Linked DNA regions of Arabidopsis thaliana. The protein of the gene in region 1 interacts with the protein of each later gene in a biochemical or structural test. Each region holds a gene or a part of one and is shown on either strand. Other genes may lie near its edges. The genes, in order: TGG2 and MVP1.

Region 1 (10,440 bases):
TTGTTATTTGTTCATTGTCTAATTAATGCTGCTCTCGATATTTTCCAAGTGTAGGGCTTCACTTGTGTCAAAATTTCCCAAGGACTATTGTTTATATATAGGGTTAGAATGTCATTGAACTAGTTGTAAGCATATGTTTAGAGGAAATCATTTGATATATCTATACCTACTAAATATTATATCAATGAAAATTTGATATTCTCAAAAAAAATGAAAATTTTATATTCTCATGTAATATTCTTTAATCTGCTTTCTTTTGCCAAGCTAAGTACGATACATGGTTGTGCTTACGTTTATATATCATAGGTAAAAATACAAAGGCTTCAACTTTGTCTAGGATGCATTGACGACGACCTATACAAAATCCATGGTGGAGACTGGAGAGATTGATAAATTAGAATATGCATACTCTCACTTAAATTTGTCCATTGAGAGTATGAGTATGAATATGCATACTCCATGTTGCGGCCATTCTTCATCTAGTGAGTGAAAAGGTATGTTTGCTTTTGTTTTTTTAGACTATGTGCAATGGAGGTCTTTAGATTTTGTTTTCAATAAATTATTCAACTGTTTAATTATTACAATATAGCTTCGACAACAACACAAATCTAATGTATTTAGATGGTTTCATATTTTTAAATAGAAAATCAGTTTGCAAAACAAACAATTAGTACTACGTACCTTAGATTTGTATTAATGATGGTGTTGAAAAAACAAAAAAAAATCATTTGTGGATTCAACATAGTTAAAGATTCAACATGTTGAAAACAAAATATGAGACCACATGTGACATGTGTTTTTTTTTACTTGATGTAGAAATTTATAAGATTTTTATTTTACTCCTATATAAGATCAATTATTGTATAAACTAATTTAATTTTTATGGTTTATATCAAAATATCAAAACGCTTTATTTTTATTTTCTCTACAAATAAAGACTTGTTTCACTTGATTTGAACATAGAGAACAATATCTAATTTATTATAAATTTGTTTCCCTCATAATGTTTTTTTTTATTATCTTCACATACACTTTTGTTTTAACTTTCAGACATCTCTTTAAAAAATACATCTCAACAATAAGATTATAAAATAAATGACAAATTTAATTAAATTTTAGTTACCTTAATTTAATTTCACTTGATAAGTTATTTTAATATGTAACTAAAAATATTTAAGAAAATCAGAATATGAGATTAAAAAAATTATGGGGTAGGATGCTGGATTTTATTATTAAATAAATCATTGTAGAAGTTAAAATTTAATAGATGTTAAATGATTAGGTACAAGAGAATAGAATGTTAAAAAGAAAAGAAAAACTTTGGAAAAAACAAACCAATGTATAGTAGCACACCTTATAATCTAGTCCCGCCGCAGCACTTAGAACTACAATATTTTTTGGATTTTGTATTATTTTTTTTAATATACATTAACTTTGGCAAAATGGACTATAAAAATCAAAACATCACATAAAACAGAAATTAGAGCTCGGAACTAGTTAAAATCACCAGAGACATCAAATTCCATCGAGGAATTCCAGCGTTAATAAAGGGCACTACTTCACTTCTCTTTTGGCGGCTCGGTCAAATTCTGTAACCAGTGTGAACGATTCTGTTTCGAAACCTTAGAGCATCCGCAACGCAAGGTTTTAAGCTGGTTCTTATGTTTAATCCTATTTAAAATTAATGTTTTAATGGGTATTATCTCAAGAGCGCCTCTTAGGTAAGAGCTAAAAAATTAAAGTAAGAGGCGGCACGTGTCGCTCATTAAGAAAGTGAGGAAGAAATATAAAAGCAAAAAAATCTACTCTCTTCCTCTTCCTCTTCCTTCTCTCTATCTCTTTAACTCGATTCCTTCTCTGTATCTCTGCCTCAAATTGAAACAATCGAAGGAGTCTCTAATTTTTCTGAACTTCGGCCATCCTTCCGCCGTTATGTCATCATCTCCACCTACACTGGCTCTCCACGGTGACTTTCGTTCATCTAATCGGCGAGTTCGTCTTCAACAAAACGACAATCTCGTCAAGAAGCTTCCTGATCAGCTTCATCACAATGTTATGGTGAGTATTTATCCTTTCAGTTCTTCTATTTATAATTCAATTTTGCTCCTGTTTTAATGTATATGATGATTATGTGTTCTCTCTTTTCTATTTCAATTGTAGGATATATGTTATTGTTATATAATATCGTTCTGCTATGAGGTTTAAGAGTTTACCAGTAAGCTATTGAGGTTAGTTGTGGAGTTCAAATTGGTTTACACTGAAGCAATGGATTTTTTGGTGGCTCTCAACACTCTAACCCGGTGGCTCCACCATGCAAGATATTGAATCCCACTGTTTGATGAAATCAGCTGTTCTCCGTAACCTCTCCGATTTCGTCACATACGCTCCTGAGATTCCTTTCACTGAATCTGTTGAGAAAACTATGCTGCTATTAAGGTTTTCATAGCTCACAAGGTTAAGCTTTATTGCAAGCATCATCATATTTAGCTTTAATATGTTGTACCTGAATCTCTGAATTATAGTCACTCAAATTAAATATGTGTACGTAGATCATGAATCTATGTTTTGCATTTGACAAGTTTTGATGTGATTATCAACTCTTCAAACACCAATTACACCAAAAAAATTTGACTCTTTTTTTAAGAACCCAATTTAAAATACTACCATTGGACAATGCTAAAAACTAAAATTCTTACCCAAGCTCTAAGTTTAACAGTTTCAAAATTAATAATTAAAAAATTGCTAAAAACCCTTGTTAATATACTACCATTGAGGATGGTCTTAGTATCCTCGGCAGTGGCGGAGGCATGGCTTTGATAGGAGGGTCAGTTGACCCCGATAAAATTTTAAAAATCTATTATATGTCATTATCAATTATTCTACTACAAGAAATTTTGATGCATATATATCCTTCTAGACTTCTACTTTAGCACAAACTTTCGAGTTGACTCGGCGTGGACATGAAAACTTCACCCTCTATGCCTATGCGCTACTCGATATCTCAAACGAATGGTTTGTTCTCCTCACCGAGTCATGCATTCCCCTATTCAACTTCACAACTATCTACACGTACATAACCGAATCAGAGCATAGCTTTATAGGTTAATTTGATCATCCCAGTGCCTATGGCCGAGGCCGCTACTACGGCAACATGGCCCCTGAAGTTTCCATAGACCAATGGAGAAAAGGGTCTCAGTGGTTTTAGATGGAAATTACATTTTAACTCATTTTAAGTTATACACAAACAAATTTGTATGTAAACACACCGAAATGTAAAGAAATAGGAGTATCAAATATATAAAATAATATTAAAAGATGTAGTTATCTTTGATAGAAGTTAAAAATGAAGTATAAGGAAACTTAGTTTAAGATATTAACTAATCCATCATCTTCCTTAAAACATTCTTTGAACTTTACATCATTCTTTTATGTTGTACATCATATCTCCGTCTTCCCCTATAAAATATGAAAATGTAATTAAAGTTGAAAACAAATAGATTTTGTTATCTGGTTACACTAAACAATTTTTGGTTCGTTTTTTTTTGCTCTCTTGTTTTTAAGAAAACAAAAAAAAATTAGTTTTTAAACAAATTTCAGTTTCGGTTTTTTAGTTTTGGTTTTAAAATGATAAACAACTAAGCATTTCGAGTTTAGTTCAATTTTGGTTTCATCGGATTTTTCCCCATCCCATGGCATAATGTAGTATACAAAATATTTATTAAGTTTGATCATCTTTTATTTAATACAGTAGGTAGAAGCTCCTTTTATCTATGGAGCAAGTAGAAAGAAGAGACATGAAGATGATCTCGATGGGCATAAAGTGGTTTTGGTCTTTCATGTGAGGCTCTTCCTATCCCCGTTCTTAAAGGGCAGACTTGAGCGGAGGATATCTTGGTTCTTGGTGGTATCTCTCAAGAACGACTGGTACCATAAGCCAGAAGCTTTGAGGTCTCTATCAGCAGTGACATTATTGAAATCAACGTAACTAAGTCCGAATCTGACGGTGTAGCCGTTGCAGAATTCGTAATTATCCCCAAGAGACCAAACAAAGTATCCTTTCACGTTGACACGCTTCTCCCTAGAAACAAGAACGTTTTGAATGATTGACTGATCATAAATATGTTATATTGATATGGATAAAGAACAACTAAAGAAGAGTAGCATCCACTCACTTGATGGCCTTGCGGAGAAAACATAGATGACTGCAGAGATAATCAATCCGGTTGTAATCGTGAAATGCTTCGGTGAAGGGTATGGGGCCACCGGAGGTACTGAATCCTAATTCCACAGTATTTGAGTCAATATCTTGAACCATTTTTGAAATACACTTAACATGTATAGATGAAAGAGATGAGTAGTAGAACTAACCGTTCTCGGTGACATAGATTAAAGGGTCACCGTATTTGGTTTTGAAGTGCTCCATTACGTTTAACATCCCTCTTGGGTGGTAATAACTGCCTTTAGAGAACTGAGAAAGAGAAGATACTATGAATCATAATATTTTGCGTAAAATGAATGAAATAATAAGGGTGAATCATGCATACCGGTGGACCAGGGGGTTGACCATTTGCATCAAGAGCTGTAAACACAAGGATGATATAACTTGATGGTCACAAAATGTTGTGATTACCAAAATATAGAAAGGTTGTAACTAATGAAATGAAAGTATATAGAGAGTGGTACATGTAAGGTTTGCGAGTGAGTCCGTCATGGCAGTGAGTTTTTCCGGAGGACTTGGGTCAAGGGCGTGGGCGTATTGAGTGACGTAATAGTTGAGACCAAGAAAATCATATGAACCCTTTAAAAGGCGAGCTTCTGTGCTGTTGAACTTTGGAAGCCGATTACCAACAAGTTTCCTCATGATGTATGGGTATTTACCCTTTGTTAGCGGCTCCATGAACCTGATGTACGTACATACATATTTTTATTAATTTACATATTAATTTTTAAAATCATTTCATTTATAAAAAAAAAAATCATTTTATTTTTGGATATTGATATATACCATCCCAAGAAGAATTCTTTGGCCCTCCAAGTTGCTTGTTTGCTCTCTAGAGTGTCATCATATGGTAGAAACCATCTAGTTATCATCACAGGTCCAATCTTCCCTCCTTGGTACTGTGGTCACATAGACATATATATACACAATATTAATTAAAATATTATAGTATTACATCACATGCACCTTTCACAAATATTGGAGACCTGACCTTATATCTCGTCCTGTATAGATCAACGACCGTGGCATGAGCAAGAAGCTGGTTATGCGCAACGATATAGGGTTCGGTGGAAGAATCTCCACCGTAACATCTTTTATCCACCCATTGGGAACATCGACCGGGTGCATCTGTTCCCAATGCATAGCCTCTCGTAGGCACTGTGAAAAGCTGGTTGATGGTGATCCAGTGCTTTACTCTATCACCAAATCTCTCGAAACATAGATCCGCGTAATCTTTGAAATCGTCTCTGCGCATATTTTATATATATATAATCATTTCCTTAATGCAATTTCAAATATTTACGTATTTTGTAATCTTTCTTATTAAGCAGCATGACATCAATAACATACATGATCGTTCTGTCCAAGAAACCTTCATATTCATCTTGCAATGATTGAGGAAGGTCCCAGTGAAAGAGTGTAACGAAAGGCGTTATGTTCCTTGCGATCAGGCCATCTATGAGACCGCTGTAGTAGTTAATACCATCTTCGTTGATTCCCCTACTCCTCTTTCCTTCTGCTCATTTATATATTGTATATTTAATACTCTTCCAAACAATCACAATCCAATGTTACTATATACATATATGGATCAATAATGTGTACATACTTGGAAGGATTCTTGACCACGCAAAGGAGAATCTGTAGCCTTTAACTCCAAGCTCTTCCATCACGTCTAGATCTTTCTGCAGTTTATATACAAAATCATATGTTAATCCACACGCAGTTAATAGATCATTCAGTGCATATATATAGTGATGAGAAATTAACCTGCCAAGTCCGGTATGAGTCACAAGTAGTGTCTCCATTGCCCAAATCGGCTCCACCTTTCTCTGATAGCGTACGTATATAATGACATTACTATGAATGTATAGAGACATATATACATAAGAAATATTTCATATCATATGGATACGTAATATGATACGTCATTTGGACAAAAAAAAAATCATATGGATACGTAAAACTTAATTTATAGGAATCATGCAAATGACAAACCTGGGTATCGGTGAGTGAAGCCATCCCAAACGTTAAGTCCACGACCTCTGCCGCCTTCGATCTGAAATGAAAAGAAACAACCATGCAACGTTGGATTTTAGAGTTTTGACGTTAAATCATTTCGGTCTGGCAATACAATGTGTACTTTTGTTACATGCCTGGTAAGCAGAAGATGCAACACCGAAGATGAAGTCGCTTTCGAAATCTTGTTTGTTGAAACGATCTGTTTGGCTACATGTGAATGGAACGTTCTCTTCGCAAGTAATCTCTTCTTCAGGTTTGCAAGTCGCCACAACTAATAGAATAGCTAAGGCGAACCCAAGAAGCTTCATGGTTAATATGTAGATGTATGTGTTGTGTTGCATGGAAGCCTTGTGCCAATCTAGGGTTTATATAGCCTTTGTAAAGAAGAGTACTGACCTATGCATTACATTGTGCTTATTATTTTCCGGAGGTTTAGGTGACATGAATCCCGTGGGTTCAAGGGTTCACGTACACGTACTCTATCTCAGTGTCACCGATACTAATTCTTTTTCCCACGTTGAGAATGGGTTAGATTATATTTGATATAATGAAAATTTCTTTATCTCAAGCTCTCAACTGTGAACTGTTGATTAAAAATAAAATTAAAATATACTCTTGATATATAAATTAGAAAAAAAAACCGTTGATTATTTCTATTTTTAGAGTTTATTTGGTAAAGAGAAATGGGTTGTGTGACATCTACCAAATCAACACCACACGGATGCCAAGCAGTGCCGGAATACGGGAATAATAATAAAAACATTCATCATGGTTAAAATATACAAATAAATAAATATGAATATTTACCTTTTCAAACAAATATTTATTGGTGGGAAAAGGTAAATTTTGCTAATTTTCTGGTCAATTGAATTTACACCACTTTTTTTTTTTTTTGACAAAAATGTACGCGAAATTTTAATAATTTTATGGGATCAAATGCCACCCCTAATCTCTTCTTGTGCCTATGCCGCCGCGTCAATTTGGGTTGGATTGGGGATTAGCATGGCATGCATCGCAGGTTTGCGCAAAACTAGAAGGATATGGATCAAGATTCCTTGTAGTAGATTTTGTTTGTTTTTTTTTGTGTTTTGGGCAAAGATTCCTTGTAGTAGATTATGCTCATCAAAGCCTCTTAATTAAATTGGACGTACAGTTCATTTGGTTAGTCGAAATAGTCGTATGTTTTACGCTTATTAGAAAATCCGGTGAATTGGCCATTTGATGGTTATACTCATCTTGATGAAGTGAGATGGTAAAAAGCCGGATTATCTCCTAGTTATCCAAAAAAAAAAAATGTTGAGCATAGAGTTTTGAATTAACACCAGAGAGTTATTGAAAACGTTTATAGATATATTTTCGACTGTTTAATTTAGAGTTACAATGCGTTCGTTAAGAAAAACAAGTAAATTCATCACGAACCTCACCGCTGACATCACATATCCTATGGATTGTGGCCGCTCGACGATGCTTTTATCACATGAAACCAGAGACTCGTCCTCCAAAAGAAAAGGAAAAACTTTTTTTGCACTTTTTAATCGTTTCAAAATAATTGGAGGTGCTTTTCATCTGAAAACAGTCATATTTTCGTTACCATTACATTTTTTTATTGGTTATTCATATTTAAATACATTAAGAAAATATAGGTTTATTTCTTATATATATTAACTAAAAAAATATATAGGGTTTCAATCTTGTTGTTTTGTCAGGGTAGGCATGGCATTCGATTAACCAGTCGGTTTTGGTTCGTTTGCGTTTAGTATCGGTTAGTTCGGATATGTTAATATAATAACCATTCAGATATTTTAGGAATTTCGATTTGGTTCTGTTCGGTTACTTTTCGATTTGGTTAGGTTTTATCAAAATAACCAAAATTAACCGAAACTAAAAGAAATTAACCAAAAAAATACGGAAAGAAAATACAAAAAAGGAAAAATTTATAAAGAATATTAAATTTTGGTTCAGTTTTGTAATAGAGTATTTGACTTTGATAAATATTAACAAGATTTGAATATGTTGATTAATTAAAGTACTTGATTGTTTTGATTCTAAAAATAATTAGTATTTTGAGTTTAAAATTATAGTTTGGATATTATTTTTGGGTATTTTCTAGGGTTTTGGATATGTCAATTAATAGTTTAAGCATCGGTTCAGTTTGGTTCAGTTTTGGCTAGTTTGGATAAGGGAGTTTACTAACCATTCGATTATTTTAAAAATTTTGGTTCGAATACGTTCAGTTGTTATTGTTTAATAATGCGACCGTACACATATCTATGGCTAAAAATGTTTAGAGAATATTTTGTTGACAAAAATAAAAGGAAAATTTATAGGTTAAAGAGGCAAAAAAAAAAGAAAATTTTGCGGATAAAACAGAACCAAAAGGAGTTCATAATTTTTTGAGAATATTACACGTATAGGCACTATTTTGAAACTTTAGCCACAAATAGGCACTTTGAAAGGAGAAGGCACTTTACCAAATCAAAATTCCTAAATTGCCCTCTGAACCACAACGCTTTCTCCTCATTTTCTCTCTCAACTCTTTTCTCCATCGTCTTTATTTCTCTCTCTTTCCAAAATCAAAATCAATTTTTTACGGGAATCTCAATATTCCAAATCAAAACTAAAAACCCAATTTCATATGATTTATCATCATCTTCCCTGTCTCTCAACAATTATTTGATTTGGTTCCATTTATTTCTCTCCTTGATTAAGGAATCTCTGTCATCGATTACAATGAAAAGTGAGGATGTTAACCATGATCAGTTACCTTCTAAGCAATCTGGGCTTGAAACGGTTCGTGATGTTGAGAACGCGAGTAGCAGCAAAAAGGCCATTGTCGATGTAACTTCATCTGAGGCATAGTTGTCCATTGATGAGTGTCCAAGCATTCAAGTCCAAATGGTCATCTATTAACTCACATTTGAAGCATAGTTGTCCATTGATAAGTGTCCAAGCACTCTAGTCCAAGTGGTCATCTAGTAACTCACATCTGAAGCATAGTTGTCCATTGATGAGTGTCCAAGTACTCAAGTTTAAGTATATAAAGCGTGTAAGAAGATCAATTGTAGCAGCAATGTTCTGTTGTTGATTCTTAATATATTCTTCGTTTTTAAGTTATGATAGAGAATTTTGAGATAATCTCAGAATTTCTATGATTTGTAAGAATTATAGAGAACCACCATGATTGATGATTTTGAAAAAGAAAATAAAAATGATGAAAAAAAAAAAACATGGAAGACAGAGAAGATAAAAATTATGCTAGTTTGTCTCCATGATAACTTGTCCACGTAAACGTAACCATGTGGAAATAAGTGATTCTCATAAGCAAAAGAATATGCTTTTAAGGTTAGACGTTCAATGAAACATCAATTTATCAAGAAAGAATCAAATTGTACCAAACAAGGCGATCAAATGGATATGAAATTTAATACTGGAATTTGCCAACTTGGGTTTTCCATAAACTCTCAAATGTTTGATTTTGATAAACTCTTAAATGTTTGATTTTGCAAGGAAAGAAAAAAAAGTAATAATGAGAAGAGAGAGAAAGAGAGAGAGAGAGAAAAGAAGAAGCGACGAAGAAGAAGGAAAAAAAAGGAACGTGGAGAGATGAAACTTTTTTTTTAATTATAATTTTTTAATTTTCAGGGGTAAATTGGTCAAAAGTTTAATGAAAAAGTTGGAAAAGTGCCTCATCCCTGACAAGTGCCTCAAAAGGAATAAAATTCTCTAAAAGTGTCTAAACGTGTCACATTCCCTATTTTTTTCCCTCTAGCTATAACATTTACAAAAATATAACAATAAATTTTAGAAAAGTTGACTCTATAATTTACATGTTTAGGGGCCTATTTAATAATTCCTTTGGGCCTATAAAGTGTTTAAACCATACCGGATCAAGCATCAATTGTTTTTGTTTTTTTAATCTAATATTAAATTATATTTAAAATAATAATAAACATCAATTGTTATTTTTCTTCTTGAGAAAACAGAGATATCAAAGACTTGAAGTTCTCGTTTTATTAATCAAAAACCAAGGAACAAGAAACACCTTTCGACCCTACATAAGCGTAAGTCGATAACAACAAATCCAAAACGAAACAAGAGATAGACATCGGTTCTCTTGAGCGTGAGTCAAAAGAACCAAATGTTTTGTCATTATTAGTAACCAAATAACCAATCAAAACCTTAAAATTCAATATAATAAT
Region 2 (9,403 bases), on another chromosome or scaffold:
AATCATTGTTAGCAAAAGAAAACCACAACGCCGTGAATATTCAATCTCTCACGTTTTTGCTATGTCTTATATCAATTGAAACTAACTAGTTAGTTTCTACAGTTCTTCTACCTAGACACGTTTGTTCTATTTTTAATAAGGTTGAGAAAGATGTTTTTCTTTTTCCTTTTGTCAAAAAGTTGCTGCTCTAGAAAGCAGAACACACTTGAGCATTGAGCGACCAAAAAAAGAAGAAGAAAGACTTGAGCAATGATTAATGTTTTTTCTCTCACAGTTTTTAAATTACCCTTAATAATTTTTTTTGTTAACCCTTAATAATTAATGTATTCAAGTTTTGTTGAACCAAAACATCATTTATTTTCAAGAGATTTTTTTAATAGTCTTTATCTTGTTAAAAATAACTTCTTCTTTTTGTTAAAAATAATTAAAAGAGCACCAATGTATATTCAACTAAACTACAAATCTTAAAAAGTAAAAACTGAATCCTATACTTTCTAACCGAATCTTAAACATGAATTCCTAAATCCCTAAAACCTTATTTAAACCCTTTATCCATGCTTCAAAGTTTCAAATTCTTTACAACTAATCAGTATAAATTGATCTGACTCAAACTCAAATATATATGCATATATATATATATATAATATTAATGATATAGAAAAAAATGAAGAAACTCAAAATCACGGGTCCATCAAACTGCGACATGATAATGATTAAAAAAAAAAAGTTGCGACAAGATAAATCTCAATTTGTTTTTGCATTTTTGAAGAAATATGTTAGTTAGAAACAGGGGCGGACCTATTTAGGAAAAAGGGGGGTCACTTGACACCCTCAACTCCGGGATCAAATCTCTAGCATAACACTTTTGCTTCTTTTTTCTCCATTTAGCTTTAAATACATGTATTTTTATTGTCTTATATACATTTTTTCTTTTAGATATTACACTAATTAATATACTATTTATAATTGCCTATGAAAATGCCACTGGTTAGAAGATATTTAGTCATGTAGAACAACCTGTTAGTTATAGGGGAAAATGCTATTGTAATTCACATTTTTATTTTATTTCTCAACCACCACCAACACATGCATGTGTGTTGTTGTGCCCACACTTTTTCAATAAACTTAAAATCAAGTAAACTTAATAAAAATTATAGTAAGTATAAAATGATATGGACCAAATCTATGAATAAGTTTAGTTTAAATAGTAGATTTGTAAGATATTCATTATGTTTTATAAAAAGTGTAATAATGACATGTTTTTGATAAACTATCTTAATAATGACATGTTTCACACAAATTAAGATAATTACGCAAATTTTTACTATATCACATGACTAAATTTTTTAATAAGCTGTAAAGAAAAACTATATCAGAAAACATAAAACAGCTCACTACTGGCCAAAAAAAGTGTTAAAATGTTAGTCAAAATTTCAAAAAAGAAAATATGATACGTACATGAAATTAATTAATTAATTCCATAACATTCGTAGAAGCAATACGTTATCGCCAATCAATAATTTGACTAATTCAAAATATCGTTTTCGTTATCGAGGTGAACACATGGAGCTGCTGATCCATGAATGAAGTTACAATCTTGTATCCAAATAAAATAATTATTTATGCCCTCAGGCCACCGAAAAAAATTAAAAATATGGCCACATAGCGACAATTTCGTGATAAAACAAATATATTAATATAATATACATATATATATATATATTAAACTAGTATAAAAGTAAATTTTATAGTACCTATCACATAAATTGTCAAAGATAAAATTAGTTATTGATAATACAATGACTATGTTATCTTTATTTAAAAAATTAAATTAATTTAAATATTTCTAAACAATTCTAAATCAACATCATAGTATGATAAGTTTACATTTTTCTGAGCGTAATATTGAATTATTTTTCAACATTTTTGTGATTTGAGTTGGAACAATATCTACTCCATTTGTTCCACCAAATTTGATATTGTGAGATTTTCACACAAATTAAGAAAAACAACTTTTATATTTTAAAATTATTGTTTTGTTAGTTTAATAATATTAACTATATATCTCTCTTCTTTTTATTGGTCAGCAATAAAAAAATTAATGATGTGATATAGAACATCAATCTTTGTGAAACAAGAAAAAAAATAATTTTTAACACTAAATTTATGCACTAGTGGAACATTTGAAAATGTGTGTTATTTTTAGAAACAAAACTTATTTTTGTATTATTTGTGAGAATTTTTCAAATATAAATTACTTCTATATAACTTTTTGAAAATAATTTAATCTTTAAAAGAAAAATATTAATCTCTTAACACTAAATTTATGCTATTAGTAGAACATTTGCAAATGTGTGTTATTTTTAGAAACAAAACTTATTTTTGTTGTGAGAAACTAAGAATTCCTCAAATATAAATTACTCATATATATAAGTTTTGAAATTTATAAGCTAATATTTTTTGTAATAATTGGTTTATTTTGATTCCAAATTCAGTTTTCAAATTCAAGTTCAAAATTGTTTGTAATCTTTGAAAATAAACATGAGAAAAATACTATAAAACTTTTCTAAATAAAATAATAATTTTATCATTTGTTCACATGGAAGTGGATGTAAAATGAAGTTATACTAGATTTTAACCCGCGGTATACCGCGGTGACAATTTATCTTTTTAAAGTTAGTATAACTTTTTTTTGCAAATTATATCTGTCTATAATATATTTTTATTTTATACTTTACAATTATTATTAAGAACGTCTTGCCAAACCCGTCCCGCCAAACCCGTCCCGTAAAAAAAACATTTATTTATATTAATGTTGATCTTATTTCTGATATGTTTATAAATTATTGTCTAAATATTTTTGTCGATGCGGGACGTTGAACCCACACATTTTTTGCCAGTTGGTTAATATATGTTTATTTTAAAAAATTTGAATCATAAAATATGACAGAAAAAATTAAGATTTTTTTAAACTCTATATATTATATAATGATGTTAAACAATTGTGATATATCAAACTTTTTATAAGTTTAAATATTAATAATGTTTTATAAATTTTATATATATAAATAATAATATTTTAAAAATAATATTTTTGCTTATAAGGTAATGACATAATAACTCTAAAAGCAAGGATTTAGAAGATTTAAATCTTTAATTAAATATTTTCATTGATAAATAATTAATGTCAGTAACATGACATTGTAAATAAGTTCAAATACAAAATTTATTTATTTAAACAAAAAACGTTTAGTAAGAATAATATTTATTTAACAAAAAACTTTGTTTTAAAATATTGTTAGCAAATATATTTATGCTAATTTTAAGGGATTAATTTGAAGTTTGTTGGGATTAAATTTGATTGATAATGTGATTGACAATTTAAATCAAAAATTTAAAGTAAAATTAATTATTTTGGAAAAAAGATTTAATGCTAATGGCATTAGATTGTAAATAAGTGTCAAGTAGAGGATTTATTTGCTAAAATGGCTGCAAAAATGTATATATAAATTAAAAATATGAAATAATTTAATATGACTAAAATAAAATAATGCCACTTCTAAAGGACTAACGAAAGAATAGTCTTCTTGTAATAATATTCTTTTAAAAAAATAGAAACGTTGGTCACGAGGCCTCATCAATGCTTTTGATACCTTCCTTCACCGCAAATTCTAACGAACCACCACCGTCGAAGCTTTCTCTTTCCGATCTTTCAATGGCGATTCTCAAATCTCACTTCTTCTTACTCTTCCCTCTTCTTCTTCTCCACTTTCACACTGTCTCCTTTGCTCAGACGCTCTTTGTGTTCGGAGATGGTCTTTACGACGCCGGAAACAAACAGTTTCTCTCTCAGAACCGAGTTGACGCAAGCTTTCCTCCTTATGGAGTCACTGTAGGACAAGCCACCGGACGGTGGTCCGATGGTTCTATCGTTCCTGATTATCTTGGTAATTGTATTGATCACTTCAAATATCTATAACTATTTATTCATTTGTGTTTAATTTGATTGTTTTTTTTTTTCCTTTAGCTAAATTCATGGGAATTCCTAAAATCTCTCCGATTCTCCTAACCACGGCGGATTTTTCTCACGGAGCTAATTTCGCCATCGCCGACGCTACCGTTCTTGGCTCTCCTCCGGAGACGGTCAGTTTTTTTTTTGTTTTGCCACCGCTAATTTCTCTGTAGTAATTTAAATTCACTTGCTGGATTTCATTTTATGGTTCTTACTTTGATTCTTGCAACTTTAGAATTAAGTATTGTAGCCAAGTCAAAATCTGGAATTGAGTTTGACTTCTGTGGTCTCTAATGCAAAACCGATGTTATCTAGAAACAATCTAAAACTTGAGAAAAAAAAACAGAAAATTCTAAAACTTGAGATTGCAAAAGTATAGTGTTAGGTCAAATCTTGAAGGAGTTTTAGGTTAAAATAGATCTTTGAATGATTTTTATACAGATGACTTTGTCACAACAAGTGAAGAAATTCTCGGAAAACAAGAATAAGTGGACAAATCAAACACGTTCTGAAGCTATCTACTTGATCTACATTGGTTCTGATGATTACTTGAGCTATGCTAAGAGTAATCCAAGTCCATCAGATACTCAGAAACAAGCTTTTGTTGATCAAGTCATCACTACCATAAAAGCAGAAATAAAGGTTAGAACTCGCAGCAGCTACAACATCTAAGCTTTGATTAGCAGTTTTCAATATTTTTTATTTGTTTTCGTATTTCAGGTGGTTTACGGGTCTGGCGGAAGGAAATTCGCATTCCAGAACTTGGCACCGTTAGGTTGCTTACCGGCCGTGAAACAAGCAAGCGGAAATGTTCAAGAATGTGTGAAATTGCCTTCGGAAATGGCTGCTTTGCATAACAAGAAACTTTTGCAGCTCTTGGTTGAACTATCAAGAGAACTAAATGGTTTCCAGTACTCGTTTTACGACTTCTTTAGCTCGATCCAAAACAGAGTTATCAAGTCTAAGACTTATAGTAAGCCTTTTATCATCATCGTCACGATAACGTTTTACAAACGTTTTGACATCTGTCTTGTCTGATGCAGCATTCGAGACAGGAAACGCTGCTTGTTGTGGAACTGGCTCTATCAACGGGAGTAATTGCTCAGCTAAAAATGTATGCGCCAAGCCTGAAGAGTATATCTTCTTTGATGGTAAGCATTTGACGCAAGAAGCCAACCTTCAGGTCGGGCATTTGATGTGGGGAGCAGATCCGGAAGTGATTGGACCGAACAATATCAGGGAGCTTATGGTCCTTCCTCTAGACATTACAGTCATCTTAGCTGGTATACAAGAAGCTATGGCTGCCATGAGACCGAGACAGAGCAACATTGAGAGTCTCTATGATATCAAGAAGATGGAGTCAGAGATGGATAATCATTGGCTTTATCAAGTTGACAAAGCTATCTCCTTTATGATATAAGATTGTGGTTACAGTTTGATTTAAGCGAGAGAGTTTAAGAGCTAGTGTAACAAAGAACTAGCAAGAAAACTGAAACATCCATTTTTCTTGTTTAGTAATAAAACAATCAACCTTATTAAGTCAATTAGAAGCTTTACTGGACCATTTCCATGGGTCCAATATAGCCCATTAGTATTGTCTCACTCAGTTTCCGTAGCCCCAATTTAGCCCACTTGGCTTCTTATTCGGTGTTAAAACATAAGATTTAAGACCATCTGAGAAAAATCAAATGACAATTTTGTAGGAATTTCACTGTATTGTCTTAAACACGTACTTAAAAGACTCATACTGGCATGTACTTATGGTAATTTTTACAATGACAACAAATTTAAAACAGGTTATATAAAATTGGCTCTTTATTAGTAATAAACTAATAATTAACACGACTAACCACAAAAACAACATAAACCTTAACATATGCATTAAGCTGAATTGACTGCATGTATAGAAGTAGATATCATCAGCACGGCCGTTGGTCGGAAGCTTTCCGCCATGTACGAAGATACCTCTTTTTCCATAGATGGTGGCAGTGGTGTAGGCAGTGCCGGGTTAAGTAAAAAGGCGGACAATGCGACCGCCCTATATCCGGGAAATTTTCTTTAAAAAAAAAAAATGAGCACAATATTTTTTTTTGTATATACCAAAGAGGTACAAAAAAAAAATTATACATGCAAAAGAGACACAAAATATATATGTTTAAATTTTTTGCTATAAGGCACATAAATGGTATGAGCCGGCACTGGGTGTAGGTGGTCCAACCACGTGGCATCTCCGGTTCATTTCCTCCTCCAAACTTCTCCCAGACTTGTCTCAGTGTTCAACGCATCACCTTCGGTAGACAACGTCCCTGGACGGCTGGACCTTAATGTGCCTTTGGGTCTCGCCAGATCTCACCTCCAAATATTATTATATGTTTTCCCGCTGTTGCATATGCAAACACGCTCATTGCTGAAGGCTTTGCTCCCGTACTCTCTACTTCTGTGTCTGTCAACTTTCCAAAAGCGGGATCCAAGAATTGCACAGCATTAGACTCGTAGTCACTTTTCCCTCCAGGCAAACTTGAAGTCACAAACCCATAAACCACCCAAATCATGACTTGCGCCACAAGGAATCCCGCACCTCTACCCAAACTCGTAGTCACAAATTTCATGCTACGGTATATGTTAAGACTTAAAAGTTAAAACCATTGAGAGAAAATAAATGATAATACGATAAAGTTGTAGATAATTCAATCTTTAATTATTAACACATACACATAATTTGTAATAAAACAGCCAGCCATAAATAAATTGGCTCCTTATTGGACAATGATACTTAAGGAACCACTCACACAACCATGAGTAGGCCTCATTAGAGTAAAAAAGCTCGACGAGTCCCACACACAGATAATTTGTAATAATACAGCAAACCATTAGGGCTCCTTATTGGATAGTAATAAATATTAACGAGCCACACACACAACACAAATCTTGACACGCATTAAGCTGAATTGACCGCATAGAAGTAGAGATCATCAGTTCGCTCGTTGGTCGGAAGCTTTCCGCCATGCATGAGGAGGCCATTCTTTCCATCGACAGTGGCAGCAGTATAGGCAGTCCAACCTCGTGGTATGGCTGGTGCACCTTCTTCTCCCAACTTTTCCCACACCAGTGTCTCGGTGTCCAACGCATATCCCTCATTGGACAGCGTCCCGGGACCATAATGCCCATTGAGATCAGGCCATACCTCACCTGCAAATATTATTATATACTTTCCCACTACCGCATGGGCAAACACGCTCCTTGCGGAAGGTTTCGCTCCTGTAGTCTCTACTTCGGTCCACTTTTTGGAAGCCGGATCATAGAATTGCACAGCATTAGACTCATAGTCATCTTTGCCTCCGGGCACAATCGAGGTCGCAAACCCATAAACCACCCAAATCTTCCCTTGTACCACAGCGAATCCCGCTCCTCCTCTTTTCTCGAAGTTATCTCCTGGATCCGGTAGCTGAGCCCATTTCCCATCAGCAATGTTATACGCCTCGATTGTCCTGAACCGCGTGGGAGTATTCATAGTACCGCCTTTGCTCACCCCACCGAATACATACACATGGTTTTCATCCGAAGCCATCGAATGGAAAGTACGAGCCTCGGGTCCTCCCACCTCATCAAGCTTCGTCAGGAATGTCCACTCGGATGTCACCGTATCGTAGGAGCGAAAGTTTTCGAAGTTGCGGTTCTCATCGCGGCCTCCAAAGATATAGATCTTAGTTCCCACGGCCACCATGCGCACGCCTAAGCAGGATACAGTTGGGGCGTCTCCTTTGGGTTGAGCGATTGACCAAGTTTGAGTGTTGAAGTCAAAGACGTAGAGGTCTTTGTCGATGTGTTTGTTTGGTGTTAACTCGCCGCCGAAACTGTAGAGCTTGTCTCCGACCGCGGCTATGCCGTGTGAACTTCTAGGTCCTGGTCCCGTTCCTCCTTTCTGCCCCACCTATTTATCACCAACATAAATCATACGATGATAATGCATGTGTTTCTTTAATTTCCTTTGATAATTATGTAACACTAGATTTTAATCCGCGGTACACCGCGGAGACAATTCATTTTTTAAAATTAATATATATAAAAATCTGTAAATTATTTTATAGTTTACCATTGTTACTAAGTAACGTTCTGTCAAACCCGTCCTGCCAAACCCGTCCAAAAAAAAAAACTATTTACTTTATTAATATTGATCTTATTTATAATATGTTTATGAATCATTGTCAAAATATTTTAGTCGTTGCGGGACGTTGAACCCACATATTTTTCGCCAATTGGTTAATATATGTTCATTCTTAAAATTTCGAATCACAAAATATGACGAATTTTTTTTTGAGATCTTTTTAAACTCTATATATTATATAATGATGTTAATTATTTTTGATAGATTAAACTTTTTATAAATTCAAATATTAATAATGTTTTATGAAGTTTAAATATACAAATAATAATATTTTAAAAAATTAATATTTTTTGCCTTTTAGGTAATGATATAATAACTCTAAAAGCAAAAATTTAGAAGATTTAAATCTTTAAATAAATATTTTCATGTCTAAATAATTAATGTGAAGTTTATGCTAATTTTAAGGGATTGATGTGAAGTTTGTTTGGATTAAATTTGATTGATAATGTGATTGACAATTTAAATTAAAAATTTAATGTAAAATTAATTATTTTGGAAAAAATATTTAATGCTAATGACATTGAGTTGTAAATAAGTCCAACTCTAAAATTTATTTGATAAAATAGCTGCAAAAATGTATATATAGATGTTATATTAAAAAAACTAGATTCAACGCTTATTAGTTAATGGCTGTGCACAGTACTAAATAGAATTATTAATGATTAAAAATAGAAGTTTCAATTTTTTGGTCAACTATATGGAAACCTTTTAAATACTATGCTTAGGTGTTCTACTTAATTCAAGTATCATCAACTTTTCCTCTTACGTCTATGAACACTAAATTTCTAAAACACTGAATACTCAAATATCTAAAATTTAATTTCCGTACTTGACCCCAAAACAAAGTACAGTAGATTCTTTAAAATATGTTTACCAACAAATATAACATAAAATTATAAGAATCTAATTCAAAATTTTAAAGCATTAATATAACAATAATGGTATTCTCTTAAAAGTAATAACATAAAATTCAAACTTCCAAATCTAAAATATTCATATCCAATCAACATAAAATTTAGAAATATATAACTATAAGATAAGTCTAAAGTTGAAAAACTATATTATATACTAATCTTGTTCTAAATAATAATTTAAATAACATTACATGTTGTTAAAAATATGTCTATTGCAATAATAAATTCGAATTTAAACCGATCTGTATGAGGGTTTGAATATACATGATTGGTAATTTTAATTTTAAAGAAATATTTATTCAGATATCCGAT

What was found.
Region 2: the proteins of TGG2 (region 1) and MVP1 form a complex in vitro, tested with the Arabidopsis thaliana proteins (one study listed by BioGRID).

What each region holds. Positions count from the first base shown.
Region 1 is NC_003076.8:9,068,872-9,079,311, reverse strand, and holds TGG2 (glucoside glucohydrolase 2), read right to left. Parts: upstream 6,605-10,440; 5' UTR 6,583-6,604; coding exon 6,376-6,582; intron 6,279-6,375; coding exon 6,218-6,278; intron 6,052-6,217; coding exon 5,990-6,051; intron 5,905-5,989; coding exon 5,829-5,904; intron 5,736-5,828; coding exon 5,570-5,735; intron 5,467-5,569; coding exon 5,211-5,466; intron 5,119-5,210; coding exon 5,006-5,118; intron 4,902-5,005; coding exon 4,684-4,901; intron 4,580-4,683; coding exon 4,545-4,579; intron 4,469-4,544; coding exon 4,369-4,468; intron 4,279-4,368; coding exon 4,173-4,278; coding exon of another isoform or gene 4,169-4,172; intron 4,079-4,168; coding exon 3,835-4,078; 3' UTR 3,535-3,834; downstream 1-3,534. Other genes in the region: AT5G25995 (uncharacterized protein), read right to left, coding at 2,293-2,481; AT5G25990 (core-2/I-branching beta-1,6-N-acetylglucosaminyltransferase family protein), read left to right, coding at 1,933-2,058, 2,918-3,012, 3,121-3,205. UniProt on the Arabidopsis thaliana protein: May degrade glucosinolates (glucose residue linked by a thioglucoside bound to an amino acid derivative) to glucose, sulfate and any of the products: thiocyanates, isothiocyanates, nitriles, epithionitriles or oxazolidine-2-thiones.
Region 2 is NC_003070.9:20,164,045-20,173,447, forward strand, and holds MVP1 (GDSL-like Lipase/Acylhydrolase superfamily protein), read left to right. Parts: upstream 1-3,552; 5' UTR 3,553-3,640; coding exon 3,641-3,947; intron 3,948-4,027; coding exon 4,028-4,143; intron 4,144-4,453; coding exon 4,454-4,654; intron 4,655-4,732; coding exon 4,733-4,985; coding exon of another isoform or gene 4,986-5,050; exon of another isoform or gene 5,051-5,055; coding exon 5,056-5,432; 3' UTR 5,433-5,640; downstream 5,641-9,403. Other genes in the region: ESP (epithiospecifier protein), read right to left, coding at 6,951-7,943. UniProt on the Arabidopsis thaliana protein: Involved in organization of the endomembrane system and is required for endoplasmic reticulum morphology and organelle distribution. May act by inhibiting the formation of PYK10 complex by binding to GLL23 and exporting it from the ER.